Canis lupus familiaris: one gene and its partners. The protein of the gene in region 1 interacts with the protein of each later gene in a pairwise test. Links are inferred from orthologs where the notes say so. Each region holds a gene or a part of one and is shown in the gene's direction. Other genes may lie near its edges. The genes, in order: STAU1, NXT1, LONRF1 and PPP1CA.

Region 1 (4,926 bases):
CAGACAGACGCTTAACCACTGAGCCACCCACGTGCCCCAAGAGTTGTCTAGTCTTTACTGGATCTCCTCTGTTCCTTTGTTCTGACTCCAAAAAGTAAACAAGGAATAACTGCATTATGGACGATTTTGGTGAATAAGATGATGCTTCTGTCTCTATATCCAAAGTCATGTTTGACCTGAGGTGTTGGGGTTCTTTTTAGTTTTACAGTTCTTTTTGCTCTCATCAAGAGAGAATGTGCCCGAATTCCTCAAGTTACCTAATTGCTCTGATTGTTCATCTCTTTCCAAAGGTCCAGCTTTAATTAAAAATTATTTTGAGACTTTAAAAAAAACTAAAGTAACCATTACTTTGTAATAGAAATTCTGATTTATTTGCTGGTTTCTGTTTTGGTTAGCTTTTCTACTCGTTGTTGTTACTGGTTATTTGGGGGTACTTTTGGCTCGCTTAAATACATTCATCTATTTGAATGGTGTCCATGACTGTAAGCAGAACAGTCCTTACCTTTGACTTATGAAGAAATTTAAATGTATTCAGAAATAATGCCTTTGGAACTTAGAAGGTGAAGTAGACCATTTCCTCTGCTTCCTGGGTTCCACTCCCATCCACACTAGTGAAATTGCTAGTCTGAAATCTGTTCCTCTCTTTTTCATCTTTTCCACCTTTGCTTTTAATCATACAAACATTATAGAATGTTCTTTACTATTCAAATAATTTCTCAGGATCTTGCATGTTGGTGTAGATGCAAGTTTTATTTGGGGTCTGTAACTAATGAGACCATCTCAAACCTCATAGGAAAAAGATCTTTTATTGTCATAAGGAAAAAGAAACAGTAGAAGTAAGAAATTCCTGTCTTTCTTCAGTCAGCTTAAAGGAAAACTGTAAGGGTGCCAGCCTGAGCACGTGGCCCTTCAGTGGAAGCAGTGTGTACATTCACACACTAATGGTCTTAGGAACCAAGTGTGCTTTCACCTTCTGATAATTTTGAGACAAGAAATCTTTACCGTATCCCATATAGTATGGAAAGCCTCTCCGTACCTTTTTTTTTTTTTTTTTTTTTTAGTTTTTTTTTTCCTTTTTTTCCCCCACATTTTTTTAATTAGACATTTTGAATACAGGCTGTAGTTTGTAATTCTTAATTTTCAACAATGAATGTCATTAAACCCTACTGGTGCTCTTTATAAAATAAACATGCAGAGCATATGGGTATTGCAAGTCATTTAAAAGCACTGTCAGAAAGTCACAAGGCCAGGAACTTCACTGTGTACCGAGGGGAACACACTTCTAATACATCAGCATAGCTACAAGCTCAGTGGGACTATTTTCATTCTTGAGTAGGTGACACCAATTTTGACTGAATATTGGCAATTACATATCTCCTCTATAATTTACCTTTTTATTTTCTTTCCCTTACAACTTTTAGGTAGAACTTTAGACTTCATAGCACTGAATTAACCTGCACTGAAAGCTGTTTACCTGCAGTTGTTCACTTTTGTTGAAAGTGACCATGTCTCAAGTTCAAGTGCAAGTTCAGAACCCATCTGCTGCTCTCTCAGGGAGCCAAATACTGAACAAGAACCAGTCTCTCCTCTCACAGCCTTTGATGAGTATTCCTTCTACTACTAGCTCTCTGCCCTCTGAAAATGCAGGTAGACCTATTCAAAACTCTGCTTTACCCTCTGCATCTATTACACCCACCAGTGCAGCTGCAGGTAAGCGTATGAATCCGAGTGTCTTCTTTTTCAAATGTTTTCTTAGCCTGTTTTTTGATCTGATAAGTAGATTGCAGATGTAGGGAGCTCTCACATTACCTTCCAGAAGCAGAAGAAAGTATTAACACCCACACTTCTTTGTTCCAGATGTAAAACACTTGGTTGTATACTGGGTTGACGGAGGCCTGAGTTGACAGACCATTTCAAAGTGTAAGAAAGGGAATTGTAAACTAAACTATAAAACCAAACTTATTAAAAAATGGTGGCCAACAGAAAGGATTGAACAGTAAATACCACTCTGGATATGTTTTGTTGTATGGGAAAATTCTGCTTTTAAAATTATTTCCCAGAACTGACAATCTTTGTATGTGAAAGCCCCTGTTTTAGATGTGTATAAAGATTATATCCCAAGCAAGGGAGCAGCCAGATTCACTGGAAAGCAAGAGAGTGCATTGGCATTTGTTAATTTTTATTTTGAACAAGTAAGTTTGAGATTCCAGACGTAGTTTAGAAGTCACAGTGAGGACCAATTAAAAATTGAACCAAAGAAGCAGAGATTTTTGAAGAGGAAATAAGTTTAGAAGCATTTAAATCTGTTAGGAAAATAAAAATGAACTAAGTGTGCTCATTGATGGAGCACCTGGCCAGCTCAGTCTGAATAACATGTGACCCTTGATATTGGGGTTATAAGTTCAAGGCCCACGTTGGGTTTAGAGATTATGTTTTTAAAAATTTATAAATAAATCTGCTCATTGATGAGAAAAGATTTGAAACACCTGAAAAATAAACAATTCTGAAAACAATATTCTGCTTTCCAACCTTTCCCCAAAGTGGCAAAACCAATTAAATGGGGTGCCAGCATGGGTGTCTCCATAGCAGAGTCACCTTCTAACAAATTCTTTCAACCCCTTGTGCCTGACAGTTTCCCTTGCATTTCCTCCTTCATTTCTCATTTCCTTCACTTTATAAATCTGTCTTAGAGTGTTGGCTCGTCCCTCTCTCAGCTGCACAACATCTGTCACACTACCTCTAGGCTTCCTTGGACTGGCTCACCGGAGAGCAATCTTGACTTGTCATCGTACCCAATAGATTCAGGATTCAGTTTTCCCCAAATTTGCCATTGGAGACCATCTTCAAAGGAAATGTCACAGACTGTTTCAGTCCTCTGGGATTTACTGCTTTTTTCTTCTAATGTGCTCTTACATCCACATCCTACTGACTTGTAAAACTCCCACCTCCAAGGCTGTTTTATTTTACTTGTATAATTCTCAGAAGTAGATAAGATCTGAGGATGGCAGCCTCTGGAGATAAGACTAGGGGTGCCCCTGGAACGAGAAGTTAGCCATGTGGGAAATGACAGTCGTTGTTTGAGAAATGGCATTGGCACGTTGAGTTTTGTGCAATAACCGACAGGGTCCGGCTGACAGCTGTTGTGGTAACCAGTGTGTCTGTGCTCACAAGACCTCTGTGTAATTCCCGTGGTTGGTTATAATAACAGTGCTTCATCTGATTTCAAATCTTGCTTGCTGCCATGGTTTAGTTATTCCCCCTGGCCTCGGTTCTCTCTCTTGGGAAGACACACTTTCCTAGGTTCCCTGGCTTCAGCCGGTTCAGAGAAGACCCCAGCTGTGTCTTCAAGCAGGCGCCACCATGTGGTTTGCAGTTGTGCATCACTGCTGCTCTGAATCCTTAGACCTTCTGCTTTCCCTCTTTTTTCATGTCCCCGGGAGAGCAGCAGTCCTATATACTGCTGGTTGACTTCATTGCTCTTACGTTATTTTTCAGTTCCTTCTAGCATGGCACACCCCAAAGAGAAAACCCCAATGTGTCTTGTGAATGAGTTAGCCCGTTTCAACAAGATTCAGCCTGAGTATAAGCTTTTGCGTGAGCAAGGTCCAGCTCACTGTAAGGTAAATATTGTCCATACTGCTTGTGCATTTATAACCCACCAGGAATGTTTTCTGTCTTTTTATGCTGTTCCAAGTGGTGCTGTGATGCAGAATACATGCTTTCCAGTCACTGAGGCTATCTTCAAGAGATGCAAAAGTAGAGATTTTGGCAATTCGCTTCTCTTCATCCTTGCAGAATGGGTCAAAGAAAAGACATGCTTCTTTTTGGGATATGTGGCTTTTAAAACTCCAGTTAGTGTGTGATTGTCTTTAGGATTCTGAATAGAGACAATTCCCAAGCACCTGTGAATGATTTCCTGTGAGTTTTCCAGGCTCTGGGCCTCCTGGCTACAGCCTGCTCTGGCTCCTTTCCTGCTTCCTTGCATGTGTACCTTAGACTGGGCAGGGAGAGGGGAACAGGAAATCCATTTTGCCACTTGTTAGCAATCCAGGTAAAAGGTTTGAAGATGAGAGGTAGAAATTAGTCTCAAAGTGAGTCCTTTGGATTGTCTCTGATTTCACTTATCCTTGTCTTTCCCCATATCTTAGAGAATGGAAGACTGACTGTAATTTAAATGTTTACTATTTGTTATTCAGGAATTCAGTCTTTGAAGCTTGCTTGATATCTGTACTAATGTAAATCTTGGAACTTAAATGTGTGCATATCTGGCTTTATCTTTGCAGCTGCAGTGTGAGAGAGGGTATGGTATCAGAGAAAAGGAATTGGGCCTCTATTTCCGATCCTAGCTTTGCAGTAAAGAGAATATAATTAAGGATGAGTTATTGGTCTCTTTATGCCTCATTTTTCTTGACATGCAAACCTCAAACCTTGAATGATAACAAGTTTCTTTTCATTTGACTAAAAGTAACATCAGCGGCAATCCTAAATAGGCACCATAGTGTAGTTAGGTGAGTCGCCTTTGGTGTCAGACAGATCTGGGTTTAAATCTCAGTTTCTTCTAGCTATGTGACCTTGGGTAAACTACTACTTTTTTGAACCTTAGTCTCCTCATCTGTAAAATGGGGATAATACCTACCCAAGTAGGTCTACTGTGAGAATTAAACGAGAGACTATGTATTAAAGTGTGGAGCACAATGCCTGGCAGTTAATAAGTCCTTCAGAAATGGTAGCTATTACGCATTTAAGAAACAGAAATTTGAAGAAAAAAAAAAAAGAAACAAATTTGTACTCACATGAAGCGAGTTTTAACATTATTCTAAAGCATGATCATATTTGAAATGTTTCTTTACTTTTGGAAGGCAATTCGTGATTTTCTATAACTGTTCTGTTTCTTCTACAGGATTTTTTTTGCAGACCTTAACTTTG
Region 2 (5,390 bases), about 36 Mb from region 1:
GAGACACCTCCTCGGGCAGAGCTCCACGTGGTGAGGAGGAGCACCCAGCCGAGACCCCTCCTCGGGCAGAGCTGCACGTGGTGGGGGGGGGAGCACCCAGCCGAGACCCCTCCTCGGGCAGAGCTCCACGTGGTGGGGGGGAGCACCCAGCCGAGACACCTCCTCGGGCAGAGCTGCACGTGGTGAGGAGGAGCACCCAGCCGAGACCCCTCCTCGGGCAGAGCTCCACGTGGTGGGGGGGAGCACCCAACCGAGACCCCTCCTCGGGCAGAGCTCCACGTGGTGGGGGGGAGCACCCAGCCGAGACCCCTCCTCGGGCAGAGCTCCACGTGGCAGGGGGAGCACCCAGCCGAGAGCCCTCCTCGGGCAGAGCTCCACGTGGTGGGGGGGAGCACCCAGCCGAGACCCCTCCTCGGGCAGAGCTGCACGTGGTGGGGAGGAGCACCCAGCCGAGACCCCTCCTCGGGCAGAGCTCCACGTGGTGGGGGGAGCACCCAGCCGAGAGCCCTCCTCGGGCGAGCTCCACGTGGTGGGGAGGAGCACCCAGCCGAGACCCCTCCTCGGGCAGAGCTCCACGTGGTGGGGGGGAGCACCCAGCCGAGACCCCTCCTCGGGCAGAGCTCCACGTGGTGGGGGGGAGCACCCAGCCGAGAGCCCTCCTCGGGCGAGCTCCACGTGGTGGGGAGGAGCACCCAGCCGAGACCCCTCCTCGGGCAGAGCTGCACGTGGTGGGGGGAGCACCCAGCCGAGAGCCCTCCTCGGGCAGAGCTGCACGTGGTGGGGGGGGGAGCACCCAGCCGAGACCCCTCCTCGGGCAGAGCTGCACGTGGTGGGGGGGAGCACCCAGACGAGACCCCTCCTCGGGCGAGCTCCACGTGGTGGGGGGAGCACCCAGCCGAGAGCCCTCCTCGGGCAGAGCTCCACGTGGTGGGGGGGAGCACCCAGCCGAGACCCCTCCTCGGGCGAGCTCCACGTGGTGAGGAGGAGCACCCAGCCGAGGCCCCTCCTCGGGCAGAGCTCCACGTGGTGGGGGGAGCACCCAGCCGAGAGCCCTCCTCGGGCAGAGCTGCACGTGGTGGGGGGGGGAGCACCCAGCCGAGACCCCTCCTCCGGCAGAGCTGCACGTGGTGGTGGGGGGAGCACCCAGCCGAGACACCTCCTCGGGCAGAGCTCCACGTGGTGAGGAGGAGCACCCAGCCGAGACCCCTCCTCGGGCAGAGCTCCACGTGGTGGGGGGGAGCACCCAGCCGAGACCCCTCCTCGGGCAGAGCTCCACGTGGTGGGGGGGAGCACCCAGCCGAGACCCCTCCTCGGGCGAGCTCCACGTGGTGGGGAGGAGCACCCAGCCGAGACCCCTCCTCGGGCAGAGCTCCACGTGGTGGGGAGGAGCACCCAGCCGAGACCCCTCCTCGGGCGAGCTCCACGTGGTGGGGGGAGCACCCAGCCGAGAGCCCTCCTCAGGCAGAGCTCCCCAGGGGCTCGGCGGAGTCCGTGTTCCCGGCGCCCCACCTGCCGTGCCTGTGTGAAAGCCTCCGTGGGTCACTGCCTGCTTCTAGTGCTGGCTTTCCGAGATAGCATCAAGTCGTCTATTAATAGAATTTCCCCGACTGCAGGTGAATGGAGGTCATAGGGCAAGAACCTGAGGTCGCCGCACAGACTCCTCCCCATCCTCTCCAGTCCGGCGGCCTCCACTGCGCGGGACACACCTCTCCCGGTTCTTGCTCCGGGGGCGGGACCTGGGATATTTCATCCAATCAAGAAACCCACGTGACCAATCGGACCGGGTCCTATGCCTAGTTAAGCCAATGAAAACCCGACCGCTGATTTTCTGTGGCCTTCTGGGAAAGCGCCTCTCCCGGAAGCCACCGTGTCCTTTGCGCCACACCTGGGCGGGGCCAGCCTCCAGGTCCTCCGTCCGGTTGGCTGACACAGCTGCCTGTCAAGCGGAGGCGGGAGGGGGCGGAGCCGCGGGCACCGGCGTCTGCGCAGCGCGGGGCGGGCCGCGCGCGGGAGGCTGCGGAGGGCGGCTGCGGAGGCGGCTGCGGGTCCCCGGCCGGGCTCAGGGGTCTCGACGACCCTGGTGGGTCCGGGAAGAAGGGTGGCAGAGGGCGGCGCTCCCGGCCCTCCCTGAAGCGAGCGGCGGAGGACCTCCAGCCTGGGCAGGCCCGCCCTGCGACCTCCGTGGAGCCGGGGGCCGTGCGGGGCGAGCCGCCGCCCACGCGGGCCGGGAGACGCCGACCCCGGCGCCGACCCCGGCCCCCGCCGCGCAGGGAGGCCCCCAGAGGCCCCCAGCGTCCCCCGCGGCCCGCAGGCCGACGACCGCAGGCCCGGCCCGGGGGCTCCGGAGACGCCTCCCGCGTGCATCCCCGCCCGTCCGCGTCGTCGGCGCTCGGCCGGGCCCCGCCGCGTCCCTGTGCTGTGCTGGCGGCGCCGCCCCAGGTCAGTACGCCGTGCCCGGCGCTTGGCGGCGGGCTCCGTCGCGGGGGAAGCCGGGGCAGTGCGGCAGGTCCGGGCCGAGGACCCGGCGGGCGGGCGGGCGGGCGGGCGGGTGCGAAGCGCCTGGCGCCGGGATGAGGCCTGTGGCGTGGTCTCTGGTCCAGCGCCTAGGACCTGCCGACGGAGGCCTCGAGGGAAGGCGGCGGCCTCGCGGCCTCGTTCTTAGCTCACTTCCGACGTTTCTTATCCCGGATTGGATGGAGGAGGGGAGCCGTCGGCGCTGTGGGCAGCAGCAGCGCGGGGGAGGAGCCGGTGCCTCCCCTCCGCGCCGGGACCGGTGCTGGGCTGGGCTTGGGAGTCGCCCCGGCCGGTAGAGCAGGGGTGGGCAGGGCGCCCGCGGAACGACTCGAGGCTGCGGAGGGCCCGGCGCGCCGGGGAGCCCCGTGGGGTCAGGGGCCGGGCCCTGGAGGGGAGCTTCAAGCCAGCGGCAGGCCCCGAGCGGTGCTCTCAGAGACTCGACTTCCTACCTGCAGGGACGCGCAGGGTGACAAGGGAAGGACAGCGGAGGCCTGACGTTTTCAGAGGCCACCAGCATTCTTAGGAAGGTAAATCAGGCGCGTGCTTGCCGTCAGACCGTGATCCAACCCCTGTCTCCCTTCTCATTTTTAAGATTGTGTGTCCTTTTGTGGTGACCGTCGAAGGAGGTGATGTATTCAAAGTAGGCGGCAGATACCCAGCTCGCAACCTGTCCGCTGAGGCTTGACTCTGGGTCCAAAGGGGGAGTGCAGAGACCTCGGGCTGTGTCTGCTCCTCTCTCTCCTCATTTCTAGGACTGAGCTCCTTGCCTGCTCTTTACAGTTCTTTACTCCAGGGCAGAGGCCTCCTCCTTGTGCACCCTCCTCTTTCCCAACTCTTTGAAATCTTTTCTCTATTTCATGAGCTGATATTTAAAAAAAGAAGTTAAGGTCTTTGAAACAAACATTCATTAAGTGTATATCTAAACGTATCCATTATCTTAGTAATAGTCCCGTGAATTTTTTCTTTTATTTAAATATTTCATTTTTAAAAATTTTATTAAAGATTTATTTATTTGAGGAAGAGCACAGGCACGTGCACCTGCACAAGTAGGAGGAGGGGCAGAGGAAGAAGCAGGCTGCCATCTGAGCAGGGAGCAGGCTGGGGCTGGGATGGGGCCTGACCCCAGCACCTTGGGATCACAACCAGCCCTGAAGGCAGATGCTTAACCAGCTGAGCCACCCAGGTACCCCACTTCTAGTGAAATATTTTAATGATGCAAAGAAGAGCAGGGAACTGTAACAGTTGTACCATACTTTGAGACTATCAAATAATAATATTTCTTTATGCTTTGGGGCTTTTTTTTTTTTTTTTTTAAGGAAATGTGACATTTCAGCCACAGTTGAGTTTCTTTTTTTTGTTGCCACCACCTCCATCCTCAATCCATACAACTTACGTGATTCTTGTATTTATTTATTTTTGAGATTTTTATTTATTTGAGACGGTGGGGGAGAGAAGCAGAAGGAGAGTAACAAACCAATTCTGCTGCAAGCTCAGAGCTGGATGCAAGGCTGGATCCCATGACCCTGAGATCATGACCTGTGCTGAAATTAAGAGTTGGACACGTAACAAACAGAGCCACCCAGGTGTCCCAGAACTTGCCTTTCCATTTTTAACTTGTCTTTCCATTTTGGCTCACAGAACTTGCCTTGTAGGTATTTGTGCTCATGGAAGCTAGGTGCCCTCCCTTCTCATTCCCAGTAGCTGAAGGTTAGCCGTGTCATGAGGATCTTGACCACTATTTTGGTACCATGCTAGTGACATTTGTTCTCTTATCTTAGAAAACCTGCCTTCTCTTTGCTCTCCCACTATCTGTTGGGTGAGCTCATGATAGGCTTTCATCTTAGACTGTCAGCAGCTGACAAGCATATGCCTTCTGACTGGTGTTTATTGGGCCACTGCTCCCTTCATTGTGGTCCACTATCTTTTTTTTTTTTTTTTTTTTTTTTTTTTAATTTATGATAGTCACACAGAGAGAGAGAGAGGCAGAGACACAGGCAGAGGGAGAAGCAGGCTCCATGCACCGGGAGCCCAACGTGGGACTCGATCCCGGTCTCCAGGATCGTGCCCTGGGCCAAAGGCAGGCGCTAAACCGCCGCACCACCCAGGGATCCCATGTGGTCCACTATCTTTATCCAGGATCCATTGTTTCTCCACTTTTCTAGGGGCAGTCACACCTGGTCCACGCTTCCAGGAAAAAGTGACCATACATAGGCAAATGTACTATCTTTTATAAAATGAGATTTTTAAAATTCCTAGTAATAGCTAACATTTTTTGAATATGTAGATAACAGGCTTTTTAACTAAGCACTGTCTTGTTTAATTCTCACATTACAACTATGTCACAAGTGGTGCTATTTCCATTTTTAAATGAGCAAACCGAGGCATTGTAAGATGAGGTGTCGCAAAATTTGAGCCTAGAGTCATCTCTCTACAGTCTGTAATTGTTTTGCCACTGGGAGAAAATAATTATTCCATTGTCAGGGCAGAACGAACTTGGACATTCACGGGGTTCTCTTCAACCTTCCTGCTCCACAGCCCCGGCTCCCTCAGGCACAGGCACACCTGGGCCTCCTTTGGCAGGGCTGGAGATGGCGTCAGTGGACTTCAAGACCTACGTGGATCAGGCCTGCAGAGCTGCTGAGGAGTTTGTGAACGTGTACTACACTACCATGGATAAGCGGCGGCGCCTGCTGTCCCGCCTGTACATGGGCACGGCCACCCTTGTGTGGAATGGAAACGCTGTTTCAGGACAAGAGTCCTTGAGTGAGTTTTTTGAAATGCTGCCTTCCAGTGAGTTCCAGATCAACGTGGTAGACTGCCAACCTGTCCATGATGAAGCCACCCCAAGCCAGACCACAGTCCTTGTTGTGATCTGT
Region 3 (4,676 bases), on another chromosome or scaffold:
TCCAGAACGTAGATCATCTTCATTTCTACAAGCTCCACAACCAGCATGGTGCCTGGAATGTAGGTGGACACTGTGAGCACTTAACAACAGCAGTTAATTGAACTTTCAATCCATCTGAGTTATGAGAGCTGCTAATCTCTGCCCTTTTTAATTAAAGTTGATCATCAAAACTAATATCATCAGATTTAAGTGTGATATAAAGGAAAACACATAAAATCCTTTAAAAACTGTTATATATGTGTCTGACATAACCTTAATGATAAAAGAGACACAGTTGGGGGATGTGTTCAAAATCCAGGGCATCACAGAGAAAATACCATCACCATACTTGTTGGTGACCGCTTACCTAGGGAGGCTTATTGTGATAATCTTCGTGGACAGGGTTATGTGGCCTTTTTGATGTTTCCAGTATCTAATCACCATCTGTGATTAGTTTGAGTACCAGAAAAAGGATTTGTGATGCTATCAATATCAAATTAAAGGCAGTTTCCTTTGGAAGGGCATTATAAAACCATTGATCTTATGCTTTTGCTGTTCACTGACTTATTTGGGCCTTTCCTTTTATTTGCTTACTGAATATTGGCATTAGGCATTTCTGTAAACATTAGCTCATTGAATTTTCAAAACTCAGCAGATGAGGGAAGGTAAAAAAACAAAAAAGTGTTAATTTGCCTAAGATCCTTTAGGTAGAGTAATGAAAATGACTTAAAGCTAGCTCTCTGGCTCCCAAGTGCTGTGCTTTATCATTATGCCATAATTGCCTCTCTGGTAAACTCGATTAGTCTGATATTGCCTATCCTATTATTAAGATGCCATGGGGACACTTTTCTTTGTGCAATGGGCCAAACAGATTGTGTGAGTTTAAATTTTGATATGATACTGTCTGTGCCTCAGGCATGCTTGGTTAATAGAATCATTTGCTAAAGGCAATATTCTTCGTAAAAGTAATGCCTCATTTTAGCTTTTTGTAAGCTTACATCTTCACATTTGGATTTGATGACAAAATCCCTTGAGTGTATGGCCAGTCATATGATTAAATGTAAATATGGGACAACAGAATAGCATATTGAAAGCATTATAGATTTGATGTTTAGAAACAGTTGTCTTTGTAATCTTAGGAATGTCTAATAATTTTTCCTGGTCTTAATGCCTCATCTATATAATGATGTCTCTTCTGGAAGAGCCTCTCAAATTTGTTTCTTATAGCAAAATCTTTTCTTTTTTTCCTTAGTGTAGTAATTCTATTTTCTGTGATTTCTAATGAAGATTTAAAGTTCGGCTTGCTTTTTAGCCAGCTCCTTTTTCCATCTCAGGCACTTATCATTTTTGTCATTCCTTGTTTTCTAGAGCTCGTGGTTTGTTTCCTTGAATTTTGTAAGGGTGCAAAGTAGCAGTTTTCTTTTTTAATAGTTTTAACAAGTCACAAGTTTATTTCTAGCTTATATCAAGACCAATGTGTGGTAGCAGGGGACTGAATCTTGTGTAGTCATTCCAAAAGCAGAATTCTTCAACTGTATGGCTTCTCTCTACCTTTTTATTAACATAATTTACCAGTTTAATCATTTTTAAGTCTACAGTTCAGAGGCATTAAGTACATTCACATTATGCAAAAAGCAAGTGCTTTTTAGTTTTTTCATTTCAAATCTTTCAAAAATAAAATGTTTTCAGAGTTCCTTTGTTGTTTTTTATGGTGAGTCATTCTTGAAGTATGAAAGGCTGAGTCAGGGCTGGTATTTGTTCAGATGAGTTAATGTATGTGAAATAGAGCACTCCCTGGCACGTAGCAAGTGGTATAGAAGTGTGTGCTAAAGAAATCAATGTAAGATGGATGTGTTAATGCTCCCATTTTCTCTCCTGTGCTCTGTGAAGCTACTCCTTTTGGATCTTAGACTGTAAGACTGATGCATTCAATTTTGTGTTTGCAGTTTAGTGATCCAGTAGTCTGAGGGATTCAGGAAGTAGCCACAGCCTTGGCCTTAACAGCAAGCAGTTCATCGTGGCATAATTTATTCTCTATCTTTTGATATACTGGCTTTAGTTTCTTGTTGTTTTGACCCGGTTCCTTGCTAAAAGGTGTAATTATGCTTATTCTCCATCCTGTTAATGCTTTCTGCCATGTTATCTCTGCGTTAAACTTCCCCCGTTTTCCCTTTTATTGTAGCAGCTATATTCTTTTTTGTTCACTGTTTTCAAAAGCCATTAATCCATAAAGACAAAAAGGAATTCCAAATTCATGTAGACCTTTACCCAAGAATTCACTCTCAGTGGTACTGCTCTCAGTTGGGGGCTGGTGGTAGGGTTCTGCAGTATTACATTGCTCCACCGCCAAGGTGGGGTGCTCAGCTGATGTTTCAGTCTGGCCATTGGCACTGTGTGAGGCAGAAGTACATAATATGTATTGCATAATACTCTGATCCAGCAATGAAATAGGTATTGCCTATTTTAAAATTATTTTTTCATTTCTATAAGGCTAGTGGTAATGGGTAGGAAGACTAGATAGACACAAGTCTTACTGACTATTGTACCTTCTAGGTTGAGAATGAAGAAGAGATCAAGAATCTCAGACAGCTTCATGATTTGGTATACTCACAAGCCTGCAGCTGGTTTCAGAATTTAAGAGACAGATTTCGAAGCCAAATTCTTCAACACTTTGGCTCAATGCCTGGGAGGGAGGAAAACCTTCAGGTATGATGGCTTTGATATTGTTTCCAAAAGTCTCACTTTTTTTTAAATAAACTCAAATTAGTGGATTTTTAAGTTTTTTTCCCCCTTTGGCACAGCATTCCCTTTGTCCCTGCTGTCTTTAAAATCATGACCGTAGTCTCCAGATCAGTGGTACCCACTACAGTTTGTCTAGGAAGGGGATGGACAGAGTTATCAGCTGAGGTAGCTGTAGCCGTCATTGCATAGAAGGAAGAAGCCCTTACCCGAGGATTTGCTCGAAGGAGAGATAAGGAATTAATAGTGGAACATTCTGGTAAAATAATACTACCTAGTAAATCGTGATTAAGAGACCTAGTTGGCCTGGGAGCAGTCAGCTTCTTTGACAGTTGGGAGATGCATCATTTTATATACTTTCTAGAAGTCTTCTTTCATCTCCAACTTTTTTCCTTCTTCAATTCAATTCCTTTTTTCCTACTTCAATTCATTTTCACATTTCATACTTCACTCCTCATGAAACCATTGTTCTGATGGTCTTGCTCAAGTACTGAGGCACTTTCTGTGCAAGCAAACATGTGCAGTAGGGTACCATAAGATGCACAAGAAGAAGTATCCCCATTCTGAAAAGTCTGATGATAGACCTATCCAAACACCAACTTTTAGGCCTAAGCATTTTGAATTGAATAACATGGTTATGTTAGCAGATTTCATAATGTATTGGCTATAAATAAATATATGAAGAGGGAGAGAGAATAGATCCCACTGTGATGGACACTGCTTCTCATCCTAGTTTTCAAAGGATGGTCCAAGTCTGTCTGATTCCCAGTTGAATCCTTCACCTGGACCTGAACTAACATCAGACCATCTCCAAATGGGTACTCATTGTGTGTCTTACAGACTAGTTGCCACACATTTGTTTTATCCAGGCTACCAGAATCTGAGTAAACTTGATAGAGATAGCCTTTGATCATAAAATTGAGCAAGTAAATTTTAAATGTAAAAACTCAACATTCCTTTCACCACCTTCCCCTTTTATTATTCAGTCCTCTGCCCTTGCTTTCTAGTATTATTATTGTAGATCAGTATTTGGTCATGAAAGCAAAAGCAGCCACTCTGTATAATCCAGGCTGAAAAGTTTATTGTAGGATGTAGAGTTGACACAGCTGTTGGCAGAGCTGCAAGAGTGAAGATCAGGGACATCACTGATGGGAGACAGGGAGCTGCCACCATAGATCTCTCAGCCTGACACCAGTAAAGCACCATCTCCTCCAGAACATGCAGGGAAGTTTCTGTAATTCTTAGGAATCCCAGGGAGGCACCTATTAGCAGCAGTCTGTAACACTGTAGCAGGTGGTTCTTAAGTATTCTCAGGAAGGCTCTGCGGATCTGCCAACACTTTACAACAGTCTCTGGAGAACAATGGTTTCTTCTCTTCCAACTTCCACATCTCACAGAAGTATGCCTCTCCTTTGCCAAGTCTAACCAAGAACTGTCTGAGAGAGGGGATTCTGGGAAATGTTTCTGACCTCTCTGAAATGCAAGAAGGAGGTGGTAGTGATACTGACCTGAAAACATAGTCCAAAAATACAGCAACTCTGGTTTGACTCTCGAAGAATCTGGAGGGATACAACATTGATCTCAGGAGCGGTTTTTGTCATTTTGAACCAGGTTTCAGGTTCAATAAGAAGCAATCCAGTGTGCAGTAGAAGTGACTTAAAAATTCTTCTGTATAAATTCCAAGTTCTTTCGTTAGCCATCAGATATAGCCCTTATAACATCAGAAGGACTTCTTTGCTGGCAATGTTTATTTTTTCAAGCAAAACTGGAGGCTGAGACCTTTTATATGTTGCCTAGAATTTCATAGTTCTTTGAAGACATTTTTAACTTAATTGATATTTAATTAGGATGGTTTTGCCTCCGTAGCACATTTGGCAGTGACAGCTCACCAACTTTTTCTCTTGCTACTTCAATTCATGTTTGTCTCTTCACATTTAATACTTCACTCATGAAACTGG
Region 4 (5,526 bases), on another chromosome or scaffold:
TTCTATCTGATCTGCCGTGTGACCTTGGGCAAGCTCCTATCTGGAATTGTTTTCCTGTCTGTATATCTGGAAAGGAAGATGGTAGGGATAGAGGTGTGGGTTCTTTGGTTTGGTTCTGGGATTATCATGGCAGGGATTAAAAGCAGAAGGATATCTGGCCCCAAGGATAGGTGCAAAGGCTGGGAGATTGGGAGTCAAAGAGACACATGAGGGACACTCTTGCCGCAGCCCTACCAGCTTTAGGATTCCTCCTGGAACATGAGGAGTAGGGACACTGGCTGAGTCCCCAGGCCCTCTAGGACCCTAGGAGTTGAGCCTGTCTCTAGAATTCAGCCCTCAACCCCCATCCTCACTCCCAGCACCCCACTGCCCCTCATCCCTTCCCCACTTACCCTGGCTCTGCTGAGCTGCCCCCAATGAAGCCATAGCGATCAGCCTGGCGATATGGGCCAGGCCCACTCAGCTCTGAGTCGGACCCCAAAGAGCTTGAGTCATCCTGCAGCTCGAAAGGTTGTACCAGGTCCTCCCCCAGGGCCTGGGCCATGGTGCCCCAGACCCAAGCTACCACAGGCTGCAAGATGTGGGGAAAGCCAGTGTGAGAGGCAGCTTCTGACCAGCCTGGGGCCTGAGCTCCCATCCAGCCGGTCCCCAGCCCGGGGACCTGGCTGCAGGGTTCAGAGGGCACAGACTTCAGGGCATCTCACCAAGCCCCCTCTGTCCCCTCTTTTATCGGGGTGGGAGGGTGAGGGTGAGAGTGAGCCTTGAAATGGCAGAAAAGCCAGACCTCTGTGTAGAGGCTGGTCCCCAGGCCCAGCCCCTGCCCCCCCAGGCCAGCTTACCTCCCTGCTGCACCTCACCTCCTCCTCTCACTTCCTCCTTCTCAGCAGCTTCAGCCACCGGCTGGGGGGCCCCTCCCACACTCCCCTCCCAAGTGTGTGGGGGGGTCACCTCTTCCTCTCTGAGGCTCTTCCGGCCTGCCCCAGTGCCCCCAGGACCGTGGGCTCCTCCCACCCTCCCCATGGGCTGGGTGGCTGCAGGCTTGGGCTCCAGAGCAGGGTGTGACCAGTCCAGGACCCACCCGAGTTACAGAGGCCAGGCCCCTCCAGTTTTGAGGTTAAAACAATTCAAGATTCCAGTGAGAATTCTCGTTTATTTAATATTTGCTCTTTACAAGTAATGCTTTGAATATATACCTAACGCAGCGTTATTATGCACTCAGCAGGCAATAACGGAACTTACAAAAATTAGTTCAGCGTGCAGCACAGCGTGGACCAAGATGGGTTCAGAGCGCCGCGGCAGGTGCCTGGGTCTGGCCAGCTGCCTTGAGGGCCGCAGAGACTCAGGAGGTGGAGGCCCCCCGTGAATGTGAGGCCAGGGTTTTGGACCAACCCACCCCCCTGCTATCTCTTGAGTCTCCGTTTCCTTTTCTGCACTTCGAGGACTTGATCCGCAGTGTCTGGAGCATCGGTTATTAATGTGCTCATACCACGCTCCCGCCCAGGGGGTGGGTTAGCGTCTGACAGAGACAAACAACTCCCACAGCACTTCCGGCCCCATATTCTCGGAACTGGACTCGGGTAACTCCTCGGGGGCGGGACCAGACTCGACCCCGCCCTCCGAGCTCCACCCACCGGCCGGGCTCCGTCCCGACGGCCGAGCTCAGCCCGAGCCCCGCCCCGTCCCCTATGCCCCGCCCCCCGGGCCGCCGCGGCCGCTGCGCGCGGTGTCCGGCGGGAGCGCTAGAGCGCGGGGGCAGCGCGCAGGGCGGGGCGGCGGGCCGGGGAGGCGGGGCGGCAGGCCGGGGCGGGCCGGGGCGGGCGGAAGGAGCGCCAGGCCGGAAGGAGGCAGCGGGCGGGAGGGAGGGCGGCAGGAGCGGGCCCGGAGCTGCTGGGGCGGAGCGGCGGCGCCGCCATGTCCGACAGTGAGAAGCTCAACCTGGACTCCATCATCGGGCGCCTGCTGGAAGGTTGGCCGGGGCCGGGGAGGTCGGTGCCCGCCGCGCCCTGGCCCGGAAGTGGTGCGCGGGCGGGCCTGCCCCTCCCCGGGCCAGCTTAGACTGGGCGGGGACGGGCCGCAAGGTCCCGTGGCCACAGCCGCCCCCCGAGTCGCGGCGCGCCGGGGGAGGGGGGTTCCGGGGACGCTCTGGCACGGGGAGCAGCCCCCCTCCTGGGCGGGGGGCGCACGGGTTGGCCTGCGCTATTGGGAGTGAGGGAGAAACCTAAGAAGCCTAGCTCCACCCCTCCCAGGGGTCCTGCGCTATGGGTGGGGTGTTGGGTGGCAGGCCCCCGCGCACAGCACACCCCCTCGAGGGGGTCCCATCCTGGGAGGCCAGAGGCGGAGGTCCTGGGAGGCTCACCAGCAACAGCTGCCCCTAGGCAGGGAGGGGCCTAGGAGGCCCAGGCGCCCTCAGATGTGCCCATAGGGCCACTTGTGTCGCCCACCTTCCTCCTGCCTGAGGGACCAGAGTCTTGACACCCCATTCCTCCCACAGTGCAGGGCTCGCGGCCTGGAAAGAATGTACAGCTAACAGAGAACGAGATCCGTGGTCTGTGCCTCAAATCACGGGAGATTTTCCTGAGCCAGCCCATTCTTTTGGAGCTGGAGGCACCCCTCAAGATCTGCGGTGAGTCTGCTGCCCAGATCCCTTTGGCTTTCTGAAAGTGGAATCCCCACTTCACCCCGCCCAGTCCTTGCATTGCTGCTCCCTGGAGCCCGAACTTGGCCCTGGGTTCAAGTGTAGCCCCTGCACCTAGCGCTGAACCGGTTCCCTGGGTTACAGGTGACATCCATGGCCAGTACTACGACCTTCTGCGGCTCTTCGAGTATGGTGGCTTCCCTCCAGAGAGCAACTACCTCTTCCTGGGGGACTACGTGGACCGGGGCAAGCAGTCTTTGGAAACCATCTGCTTGCTGCTGGCCTATAAGATCAAGTACCCCGAAAACTTCTTCCTGCTCCGTGGGAACCATGAGTGTGCTAGCATCAACCGCATCTATGGCTTCTACGATGAGTGTGAGTAGCCCAAGTCCTTAAGTGACTTCCCTTTTCGGGGAGACCCTCACATAGGCCTGGCAGTAGGGGAATTGGTGTCTGACCACTACCCACAGACCGCGAGCTCTGCGAAGGGTGCACACCAGTTGGTGCCTCTCTGCCTGCCCTCCTGCCGTGGGGCCGGCACGCAGGAGGGGTCTGGGGAGTGACTGCTGAGGACTGCCCATGTTCTAATGCAGGGCCCTGCCTCATGACACTCCCCTCCAGGACATCCATTAGGCACTTGGGATGCCTATTTGGACTGGATCCTACCAACCAGAAGCTGAGATAAACCAGGCCTAGTCTTGGCCTGGCCCTGCTCACTGGGTGCGGGTGGGTTGTTTCGGATTGGAACTCAGGTTCCTCTGGACCTAGCTGCTTTAGAATTCCTGGAAGGCTGGTAGGCAGCGGAGTCGGGGGAGGGGGGATTCTCTTCTTGTCTGCCATTCTCTTCTCCCAGCTGTGTCTGGAGGGCCTCAAGACCCAGGCTGGCTGTGGGGCAGATAGGCCTCATGAGGCATCTCCTTCCTCCCAGCAGGCAAGAGACGCTACAATATTAAACTGTGGAAGACCTTTACTGACTGCTTCAACTGCCTGCCCATTGCTGCCATCGTGGATGAGAAGATCTTCTGCTGCCATGGAGGTGAGAGTGGCTCTAGGGTACATGTTGAAGGGTTCTTTGGGAAGGAAGAGCCCTGGGCCACATCCCGGGGAGCCCTGGGATGAGGCTGTTAGCTGGAGGATGTCTTCCCCGTCACCTGGAAGACCTCTCCCAGTGGTCTTGGTTTGCATGTCACTCTTTGTTTTGAGGCTTAAGCAAGTAACCTGCCCTCCCCCAGGCCTGTCCCCAGACCTGCAGTCCATGGAGCAGATTCGGCGTATCATGCGGCCTACAGACGTGCCGGACCAGGGCCTGCTGTGCGACCTGCTGTGGTCTGACCCTGACAAGGACGTGCAGGGCTGGGGCGAGAATGACCGTGGTGTCTCCTTTACCTTTGGGGCTGAGGTAGTGGCCAAATTCCTGCACAAGCACGACTTGGACCTCATCTGCCGGGCACACCAGGTGGGCTGGCAGCTCTGGGGCGGGTGGGAGTGGGGCCTGGGTAGCCAGCACCTGCTGAACAAACTGCCCCCATCCTCATCCAGGTGGTAGAAGATGGCTATGAATTCTTTGCCAAGCGGCAGCTGGTGACTCTCTTCTCGGCTCCCAACTACTGTGGCGAGTTTGACAATGCAGGCGCCATGATGAGTGTGGATGAGACACTCATGTGCTCCTTCCAGGTTGGGATGGGGGAAGGAGGGGGGCTGGTGACCCTGTGGCTTAGCCCATGAGTTTGACCAGCTCTTGTCTTTTTTAGATACTCAAGCCCGCTGACAAGAACAAGGGGAAATACGGGCAATTCAGTGGCTTGAACCCTGGAGGCCGGCCCATCACCCCACCCCGCAACTCCGCCAAAGCCAAGAAATAGCCTCCGCGTGCCCGCACTCTGCCCCAGATGGTGGATTTGTACAGAAATTACGTGGCCATAGGGGGTTCACGCTGGCCCCCCAGGCCCACCTGTCACGGGGAACACGGAGCCTTGGTGTATTTTTTTTTTTTTTTAATGAATCAATAGCAGCGTCCAATCCCCCAGGGCCCCTTCCGCCTGCTATAGTGGTGGCAAGCAGGATCCTGGGGCTGAGGCTGCAGCTCAGGGCAAAGCAGGGCCAGATGTGGGTTTCCAGCCTTGCTTGGCCTCAGGGCTGGCCGACAGATCCTGGGGCAACCCATCTGGTCTCTTGAATAAAGGTCAAAGCTGGATTCTCGCCATGGCCTCTGTCTCCCTTGTCCCAAATACTGGGCCTGGCAGCCCTTCTGTCCAGGGCTGCTTGGGAGGATAGGCATGCTGGGCATGGGGCCCCAGCTAGGGCAATCCCAGCCATAGGCTCAGGTCCATGGGGGCTTAGAATTCCAAGCTGGGGCCAGAGAGTATAGAGAAAACAGTTTGGTGACCACAAAGGATTCCAGAGGTGTGTTTAGGATTTAAGGGACAGACAAGTCATGATTGGCAAAGAAGGTAAATCAGCAGGGGCTCATAGCCCCTCTGTGATTTCTGTCCTGGGGAGGTAGGCTTAGGGAAGGCAGGTGTCCAGCCCTAGCCACATAGTTGGGAGTCTGGCCTAAAGGCCTATGGGAGGGGAATAACAGGGGGCCTCCCATCAGGTGGCAGCTCGGTGCAAAGCCTGGGAACAGACATGATTGGTTGGGAGTTAGAGAAGACAGGACCCAGGCTAGTCAGAGCCAGGAAGGACCTGGGGTGGCATCAAGACCAGTGCTCTACTCCAACACAGCCCACCTTTACCAACCACCAGGGTGATTAGCCCCATCCCTGGGCTGCTGCTGGGGGAAGGAGGAGGCTGTGGTTTCATCTAATCAGAGCCTCTGGACACAGGCTTGTTCTCAGTTCAGCCTTCACCCTCACTATCTTCAGCCAGCACAGGGCTGGGGCCCGGAGGAG

What was found.
Region 2: the proteins of STAU1 (region 1) and NXT1 interact in binary tests that used the Homo sapiens proteins (3 or more experiments, as listed by UniProt). The two-hybrid records come from large-scale screens. The link is inferred for Canis lupus familiaris from reciprocal best matches to the Homo sapiens genes STAU1 and NXT1.
Region 3: the proteins of STAU1 (region 1) and LONRF1 interact in binary tests that used the Homo sapiens proteins (3 or more experiments, as listed by UniProt). The two-hybrid records come from large-scale screens. The link is inferred for Canis lupus familiaris from reciprocal best matches to the Homo sapiens genes STAU1 and LONRF1.
Region 4: the proteins of STAU1 (region 1) and PPP1CA interact in a two-hybrid assay, tested with the Homo sapiens proteins (2 studies listed by BioGRID and IntAct). The link is inferred for Canis lupus familiaris from reciprocal best matches to the Homo sapiens genes STAU1 and PPP1CA.

The regions. Positions count from the first base shown.
Region 1 is NC_049245.1:36,470,234-36,475,159, reverse strand, and holds part of STAU1 (double-stranded RNA-binding protein Staufen homolog 1), read left to right. Parts: intron 1-1,421; 5' UTR 1,422-1,505; coding exon 1,506-1,710; intron 1,711-3,495; coding exon 3,496-3,620; intron 3,621-4,926. UniProt on the Homo sapiens protein: Binds double-stranded RNA (regardless of the sequence) and tubulin.
Region 2 is NC_049245.1:673,357-678,746, reverse strand, and holds the start of NXT1 (NTF2-related export protein 1), read left to right. Parts: upstream 1-1,994; 5' UTR 1,995-2,439; intron 2,440-2,840; exon of another isoform or gene 2,841-2,969; 5' UTR 2,970-3,041; intron 3,042-3,677; exon of another isoform or gene 3,678-3,697; intron 3,698-5,049; 5' UTR 5,050-5,102; coding exon 5,103-5,390.
Region 3 is NC_049237.1:37,042,135-37,046,810, reverse strand, and holds part of LONRF1 (LON peptidase N-terminal domain and RING finger protein 1), read left to right. Parts: exon of another isoform or gene 1-52; intron 53-2,532; coding exon 2,533-2,685; intron 2,686-4,226; exon of another isoform or gene 4,227-4,277; intron 4,278-4,676.
Region 4 is NC_049239.1:50,564,790-50,570,315, forward strand, and holds PPP1CA (serine/threonine-protein phosphatase PP1-alpha catalytic subunit), read left to right. Parts: upstream 1-1,815; 5' UTR 1,816-1,911; coding exon 1,912-1,966; intron 1,967-2,491; coding exon 2,492-2,623; intron 2,624-2,779; coding exon 2,780-3,010; intron 3,011-3,566; coding exon 3,567-3,671; intron 3,672-3,867; coding exon 3,868-4,091; intron 4,092-4,174; coding exon 4,175-4,309; intron 4,310-4,386; coding exon 4,387-4,497; 3' UTR 4,498-4,630; downstream 4,631-5,526. Other genes in the region: TBC1D10C (carabin), read right to left, coding at 393-637; cell cycle checkpoint control protein RAD9A, read right to left, coding at 5,474-5,526. UniProt on the Homo sapiens protein: Protein phosphatase that associates with over 200 regulatory proteins to form highly specific holoenzymes which dephosphorylate hundreds of biological targets.